Sus scrofa: one gene and its partner. The protein of the gene in region 1 interacts with the protein of each later gene in a pairwise test. Links are inferred from orthologs where the notes say so. Each region holds a gene or a part of one and is shown on either strand. Other genes may lie near its edges.

Region 1 (4,600 bases):
GCTAGTGACTACCACACTGATCAGAGCAGGTGTAAAATGATGAGGGGGAAAAAGGCATAAGCATGCCCAACAAAAGAAAAGTAAATATAAGGTCCCTGGGTGAAGACTTTCACTAATAGGAGGAGGCAGTACCTAGCAAATGTGACCATAGCAGAAGTTTGTACTTATTAAATCTGAGAAGCAGAAGTGCAAATAACTGACTGGTTATATACTGACTGTAACTGAAAACCAATGGAACTAGCAGGTTCAATGTGAATAAACTGCTGAAAAATTTATTTTCAACTATAATGTTTTACCTCAGCATAAAAGAACATATTAGAATGCTCACAAAATAATCATTCAATACACTATACTTAAAATACCCCAAACAGAAAATGTCACACAATGGAAATATCTAACAATTCCTCAGGCTTGGTAGTATGAACTGAAAAAGTTTTCATTTTTCTTTTTAACTAGATGTTCACACATGCAAGTGGAAAACATTTTAATACCGAGACAAAGGAATTTTAAGAAATCCTGATTTGGCACAAGAATTTAAAAGCAATAAATGATGGGAATCAAAACAAGCCACTCCCACCACAGCAGTTTCATCACTGAAGACATTCTAGCTATTTGGTCTTAAAAAACAGTTATAGTTCTTCTAGTTTAATCATTATGAAAAATCGTACAAATTTTACAGCTCTCTATAAGACAGTCTGGGTCAAAGATATCAAAGCAGTTTCCTCTTCGTTTTCTGAAAAGTCTAAACTAAGAAAATCAATGCCCTGTGTTTATTTAAAAAGATCTCAAGATTTTCATTTTGTAGTACAGTCCTCATATTCAACGCCTTAAAAATCTATCCACATTGCATTTCCATGTTTAAACTTCCTTGTCAAAGGTATAGTTCTCACAATAATGTGAATGAATTTAATGCTACTGAACCATACACTTTTTTTAAAGTGGTTAAAATGCTATATATATGTATATCTTACCACAACTAAAAAAAAAATTCTTTAAATGTTGTACAGCCCTGCAATGTCTGTCTTTAGATGAAAGGAGGGGAAAACAGGAATGGGATAAAGCAGGACTACATGTTAGCTTTCACATTCTCATTTTTGATTTGCTAGGAATTTACCAGAATTTAACTATACTCTGAAGATCATACTTATTAAGTCAGAACTTATTTACAAAAAAAGAAAACCTATCTTCTGTGCCTCAAATACTTTACTTTTCAACTCAGCTGCTATAAATACTCATCTCAAGAGTAAACATCCAGAGCAGCTGCAAAATCACTCAAACCACTACCATCTTTTATTTCGGGCCTATGGCTAAAAGGAAAAAAGAAGAAACATGGCTGAAAATTTATCAAGATTTTATGACTCCACCCCTTTACCTACACCAACAATAAATACACAATATTGATTAGTACTAAAAGGACACCAAATTATTTTATTTCCCCTCAATATAGTATTGAAAATGCTTCAAACTAAAAATGAAAATTACTCAGCGTTTTGATATGGAATAACTTATATTAGTGGCTATAATTTGGTACTTACATTTTATTGATTTGAAGCTCTGGCCAAGAGCTAGCTGCCAGTTCGAACCATTCTGGTAAAAAGCTAAGTCCTTCAGATTTAAATATTTAACTATCACAGTGCCTTTGGGCGTTCTCCATCCCTCTCCACGCTGTCCCTCAACTGTTTAAAAAGAGGACCACATTATTCTGCTCTTTTAGGTGCAAAACAAGGAAATCAATCGCACAATGTTCAGATTTTTTATTTGCAGTCTGAGATCTGTTTTAGAGAGCATACCCTGCCTCACTTGAGAGTCAAGCAAGAGAGGAGCCATCTGAATGTTTCTAAAGGAAAACCTTAAAGCAAAAACACCCGTGGCACTAAGATTTCGGACTGATGAAACATCGGGGGTTAAAAACCTCCAAAGTGTCTCTGACCAGGGCTCTAGAAAAAACTAACTCTACTTAGAATGATGAAGCCAAGCCGATCTTTGCACAATGTGGGCCAGGCTCCTGCACCATAAGAACAAGAGAAGGTGGTAAGAACTCCATTGACCTCTCACAGAGTTCGCCCCAACCCCAAGGACAGGGGGTGAGAGCCATGTGCCTAAGGGGTTGGTTCCTTTTCTTAAGAACCTAAGGGAGGCTTAGGTGGGTGTTGAGACCCAAGACAGACAGCTCTAGGTGAATGGAAAGAAGGACGACAATTTGGCCGCGCTACAGTGCCAGATGTGGCCGAGGAAAGGGGGTGTCTCTAAGCACTTAGGTGGAGTGAGGTCTCAGTCCGTACACAAAGGAGGCGCCACTACCGCAATGCGCTCTGGTACTCGTAGTCAGATGCCCAAGCCAGAAGGTGGCAAGAAACTATGGGGTCCAGAGTCAGAGCAGGCCCCTCTCCTCAGCCTCCGGCTCTTCCAGCATCACACAAAGGACCGCGCCACCACCCCCTCACCCCGCCCGCCGGGACTTGTAGTTCCCGTTCCCCTATCAAACCACAGAGAAGGACTAAGCCAGACTACAACTCCCAGCAGCCTCCGCGCCCGAGCCCCGCACCCCTGCCTCCATCTTGGCTGCGGTCGGAGCCTCCATTTTCGCTCCCTCCCCCCACTTTAGTCACCACCACTGCTACCACACGCGGCCGTCGGGCCTCGATTCTTCTCTTCGACTCTGCAACTTAACGTGAGGCCTAGACAGCCGAACTAGGAGGGAATGGAAAAGCCTGAGGTAGGGACTCAGGCTGAGTTCTTTCCTACCCGGAGCTCTAGGAGTGCCCAATCTAACTCTGAAGTCTCTCCCGTTCGTCTCGGTCTTCACATCTGCCTTTAGCCCGGGTCCTTGCTGCCCCCAATTAGACCCTGAGGTCGTACTTACCCCAACAGCTCAGCGCCCCCTCTCCAGCGCCGCCATAAGCAGCACGGCCCGGTACGTAGGAATAAATCTCGCTTCTCTCGCGAGAGTTGCGGGCTCCGAGCGCGTGCACAGGAAGGGGGGGTGGAGCGTATCCCTAACACGCCTGCGCACGAAGGAAGAGTGACGCCAGCTTGTACCCTGCATTTAACCACAACCAAGATGGTGTCTACGTTCCCTAAGATTCTCTACCCCGTGAGCTGCGGGAAACAACCTCAGTGTTTGCTGACTCCGCTGGGACGCAAGGGGCGGGGCGGCGGGTGACTTTTGGCCTCTCTTAGATTTGCACACCTGAGTATGCTTCAGGCAGAGAGACCTGGGTAAAACAGCCGCGAGGGCGAATAGCTTGGAGGGCATATCAGGAATGTCATATAAAAGATTTCTCTTTTCCGAGAGATAATCCCGAAGCTCCTAAACTCCAGTTTCTTTTTATGTACAGTGTAAGCTTTCTCTCATCTGCTGCTTTAGACTGGAGTTTTCATTAGTATAGAGTTGGTTTTTAGCAAAGTGATTTGGATGCCTTAAGTGAAAAATTTGTCTCCCACAAACTGTATTGTGTGCAACAGACGGACAAGAGGGAGCAGGGTAGCATAATCATTAAAAAACTCCTTCGGAGATCCCGTCGTGGTGCAGTGGTTAACGAATCCGACTAGGAACCATGAGGTTGTGGGTTCGATCCCTGCCCTTGCTCAGTGGGTTAACGATCTGGTGTTGCCGTGAGCTGCGGTGTAGGTTGCAGACGCAGCTCGGATCCCGCGTTGCTGTGGCTCTGGTATAGGCTGGCAGCTACAGCTCCGATTGGACCCCTAGCCTGGGAACCTCCATATGCCGCGGGAGCGGCCCAAGAAATGGCAAAAAGACAAAAAAGACAAAAAACAAACAAACAAACAAAAAAAACCCCAAAACTCCTTCAACTGACCTTTCAAGTTACCAGAAGATGTTATTAGTGTGTCAGGTAATCAAAGAGACTGAATCAGTAACCAAAAGGTTGAAATCAGGGCAAATGGATGATTCATCCAAGGGAGAAAGAGGAAAGGAAGAAAATGGTTAATTCTGTCCACAGAAAAGTTCAATGAATTATCCCTTGACAAGCTTTAGAGCAGTTCCCTCTGGTGAGAGGAATGCTTTTCACGTATTCTGTGGCTCTCTTACTTGACAGTGTTGGATCAAAAATGACCAGTTACTCTTCTGAGAACTCTCCCACCCATTTTATTTTCTCTTTGAACATATATTTGTCTGGCATCTCCTAAGTGACATCGCTGGAATGCATACAGTAGTAACAACAAACGGATATGGTTCTGTCCTCAAAGAATTTGTAGTCTAGCACCATTCAATAATAAAACAAAATCTAAACATACGCATTGAAATAAGTGCAGGGAAGGACAGCGTATAACCTCCAATTCTGAGCAAATCATCTTGAATTATAAGAGGAAGCAATATCCTACTTCTGATGTTCAAAGATTTTTCTCTTTGCCTCTGTTGTTATTGGTCTAATCTCATTAAAGAGCAGCCTCTTTATTGCCTTCCCACGCTTTCCCAGGAACACATATTTGCTTCACTTTCAGTGCTTTCACAGCTCATTCTACTATAATTATTTATACTAGCTAGTGATACTTTAGAACAGGACTTGTGACATTCATCGTTGCATCACTGGTTCCTGACAACACCTGGCATAGACAGCTCTCAAAAGCTTGTTGAATG
Region 2 (3,807 bases), on another chromosome or scaffold:
CCGCAGCCCGTGGAAGCCACTGATGACGCCTTTTGGGACCAGTTCTGGGCGGACACGGCCACCTCAGTGCAGGATGTTTTTGCGCTCGTGCCGGCAGCGGAGATCCGGGCAGTGCGAGAGGAGTCACCCTCCAACCTGGCCACTCTGTGCTACAAGGTGAGGGGTGCCCGCCGCTCGCTGCCACACCCACCCTCCCAGAGAGGCCAGAGCTGGCCCAGCCCTGGGCTCGGGCACCCGGGATGTGCCCCACCCAGCTTGGGGTAGTCCTAAGACTTCCCCTGCTTCTCCCCCTGGCTGGGCTCTGGGGGCACATGATGGCAGCGCTCCCTGTGAGGGCTGTGTGAGGGTGGCACGTTCCATGGCTCATTTAACTCATGCTCCGGGGTTGGTACTGTCTGTGTTGCCATATCACAGGTGCGGAAAGTGAGGCCCAGATGGGCAGTTACTCAGCAAGGTCTCCGCTGTGCGGGGTGGGCTGGGTCTCATTCCCATGATGCTCTAGGTGCCACCCCACCCCGACCCCTGCCCCCAGCCCATGGCCGGTCCCCCTGGGCTGGCTGACCCTGTCTGGAGAGGCAGCCCTGCAGGGTGGCCCGGCTGCCTCTCCCCCTCTGAAGGCCGGAGTGCCCAGCCTGACCCCAAGCACCAGATCCCCACTCCCCACCCTGCCAGCCTCTCTGCCTGTCCCCACAGGCTGTGGAGAAGCTGGTGCAGGGAGCAGAGAGCGGCTGTCATTCGGAGAAGGAGAAGCAGATTGTCTTGAACTGCAGCCGGCTTCTCACCCGCGTGCTGCCCTGCATCTTTGAGGACCCCGACTGGAGGGGCTTCTTCTGGTCCACAGTGCCCGGGGCAGGCCGAGGAGGGGTCTGTGTGCCTGGTTGGGGGGCTGGATGGGAGCTGGAGTTGTGGTGTCAGGGGAAGAACCCCCTCAGGGCCAGCCATTCCTCCAATCCCCTTCTTCGGGGACAGTGTGAGGGGGTGGGCAGTGATTCCCAGCAGGGCTGAGGCTCCAGAGTTTCGGGGACTCGCCTGGCCCCTCGCACTCAGCAGAGCCCCGTGTGCTGTCGCTCTTCTGCCTGAGGAGGTTTGGGGTGAATGAGCATCTACTTCCTGCCCTTCTCCCACCTCTTCCTCCATCCCTCTGCCCATGGGGGCCTGCCTGGACCAAGACCCTGTCTCCTTCCCGCCTTCGAGTCCTGGGGCCACCTCTCCTTGGCCAGCTGTGACTGAGGGGGCCTATGGGTGCCATGTCCCAAGCAGGGCGAGGATGATGACGAGAACGCCCGGCCTCTGGCCGAGTCCCTGCTCCTGGCCATCGCCGACCTGCTCTTCTGCCCAGATTTCACCGTCCAGAGCCACCGGAGAAGCACTGTGGTGAGAGGCCCCCAGCCCCCCCCCAGCTGAGGCGGGCTCTGGTCCCCTGGGGCCGGTTGAAGGTCCCTTGGGGAGGGGCTGTTCCGGGAGGGCTGGGCTGCCTGGCACGCATGGTCCCAGGGAGGGGGTGGTGGCTGGCATAGCTGGAAGGGAGCCAGCTGTGTGGCGGGCCCTGCCCCCTGCATCCGGGAGGCTGGGCAAAACCACCCATTGTCTTCGCCTGGGCGGTGGGTGGGGGTGTGGGGCTTGGACACAGGAGGCCTGGGCCTTTCATTTCCTGCGGGTGCGTGGACTGGACCTGGAGTATTCTCTGCCCCCCACTGCCACCCACCACCAGGGGCACCTGATTCCACTGTGCTGCCTCCCTACCGCCCTCCCCAACCAAACTGAAGCAAAGTGAGCCTTCAAGAGGCTGAGAACATTCATTTCTTCCCTGTGCATGAGCACCCGCGGCACTCGGAGGGTCTGTCTCGAGAATAGGGGGATTTGTGCTCCCAAGGATAGTGGCGGGCTTGGGTGGTCCCCCCTCAGCCTGACCTCTCCCTGACCCCGTCCCCAGGACTCGGCGGAGGACATCCACTCCCTGGACAGCTGTGAATACATCTGGGAGGCTGGCGTGGGCTTTGCTCACTCCCCGCAGCCCAGCTACATCCACGACATGAACCGGTGAGCAGTTCTCAGGCCCGGAGCTCGTGATGTCGCTGGACCCCAGGCCTCCTGCCTCCCACCCCAGCTCAGGGAGCGGAGACCCTGCCCACCCGTGACCCAGCGTCAGCCCCGCAGGGATAAAATGGAGTCACTTTACGGACTGGAGCTGGGGCTGGGCGGGGAGGACATGCCCTCCTCCGGGAGGACTGAGATCCTCAGGCACTGAGCGCCCCTTCCCCCCCACCCCAAGGATGGAGCTGCTGAAACTGCTGCTGACCTGCTTCTCTGAGGCCATGTACCTGCCCCCAGCTGCAGACTGTGGCAACACCAACCCATGGGTGCAGTTTTTTTGTTCCACGGAGAACAGGTGAGGGGCCCCCTGGCTGTTCTTTCCATTCTCCCCGTCCTGGTTCCAGGCAGCTCGGAGCCCAGGCCGTTTACGAGCCGGGTGTCTTATTTGGTGGGAAATGCTGCCCTCTGGTGGTAGTGACCTATAACAGCAGCCGCACCTATGCCAGCGCTGTCCAATGTCCCATTGGGGAGCCCTGGGTGACTGCCTGCGACCTCCGTCTAGAGCCAGGCTGTCCAGTAGAAGTATAATGCAAACCACATATGCAATTTAAACATTTCTAGTAGCGACATTAAAAAAGTAAAAACGAGGCGTTCCAGTTGTGGCACAGCGGAAACGAATCTAACTGGGAACCATGAGGTTACAGGTTCAATCCCTGGTCTCTCTCAGTGGGTTAAGGATCCGGCGTTACTGTAAGCTGGGGTGTAGGTCGCAGACGCGGCTTGGATCTGGCGTTGCCGTGGCTGTGGTGTCGGCCGGCGGATCCAGCTGCGATTCGACCCCTAGCCTGGGAACCTCCGTATGCCATGGGTTTTTTAAAAGATTAAAAAAAAACAGTAAAAAAGAAACAAGTGAAATTAGTTTAAATAATGTGTTTCATTTAACCCGGTGTATCAGAAATATTAGCATTTAACATGTAATCAATATACAAAATTATTGAAGTGTTTTACATTCCCTCTTCATACTAAGCTCTCAAAATCTGCTGTGCAGTTTACGTTGACAACACATCTCACATTTTAAGCTCTTCATAGCTACACGTGGCTTGTACTGAGCAGTTTGTTTGTTTATTTATTTATTTGTCTTTTTAGGGACACACCCATGGCATATGGAGGTTCCCAGGCTAGGGGTCCAATCAGAGCTGTAGCTGCTGGCCGACACCACAGCTACAACAACGCCAGATCCGAGCCGCGTCTGCAACCTACACCACAGCTTACGACAATGCCGGATCCTTAACCCACTGAGCGAGGCCAGGGATCGAACCTGCAACCTCCTGGTTCCTAGTTGGATTTGTTTCCACTGTGCCATGACGGGAACTCCCAGCAGTACAGTTTTAACAGTGGGTCCAGGGGGTGTAATGAGTATCCTGAAGGCTGGGGGAACCCGGCCCACATGGGGGTGCCCCTGGGCTCTGGGGGGCATCTAAGTACATGGGGGAGTCACATAGTGTGATTGAGTATTTGGAGCAGGTACACCTGCTCCAGCTGTGCCCAGGGCCGGGCTGGCGGCACAGGGGTTAGTGCCCCTGAGGATCTGGTCTGCCTTCTTACTTCCAGACTCCGATTCCCACGCGGCCCACCTCAGCCTTCAGGTTTTGCTGGCCTCCTGGCCAGCCTTCCCCCTCCCAGCGCCCAGAAGTGGCAAGAACCCACGCGACGCCCTCCACCAGCTGCAGTCAAAAGCTGGGCTAGGTTTTCTTTGTCACCAGCCTCGGAGGG

Evidence for each region.
Region 2: the proteins of CSDE1 (region 1) and HID1 interact in binary tests that used the Homo sapiens proteins (3 or more experiments, as listed by UniProt). The two-hybrid records come from large-scale screens. The link is inferred for Sus scrofa from reciprocal best matches to the Homo sapiens genes CSDE1 and HID1.

The regions. Positions count from the first base shown.
Region 1 is NC_010446.5:105,802,928-105,807,527, reverse strand, and holds the start of CSDE1 (cold shock domain-containing protein E1), read right to left. Parts: upstream 3,017-4,600; 5' UTR 2,864-3,016; intron 2,422-2,863; exon of another isoform or gene 1,536-2,421; intron 1-1,535. UniProt on the Homo sapiens protein: RNA-binding protein involved in translationally coupled mRNA turnover.
Region 2 is NC_010454.4:6,297,506-6,301,312, forward strand, and holds part of HID1 (protein HID1), read left to right. Parts: intron 1-6; coding exon 7-156; intron 157-693; coding exon 694-864; intron 865-1,260; coding exon 1,261-1,374; intron 1,375-1,933; coding exon 1,934-2,040; intron 2,041-2,272; coding exon 2,273-2,389; intron 2,390-3,807. UniProt on the Homo sapiens protein: May play an important role in the development of cancers in a broad range of tissues.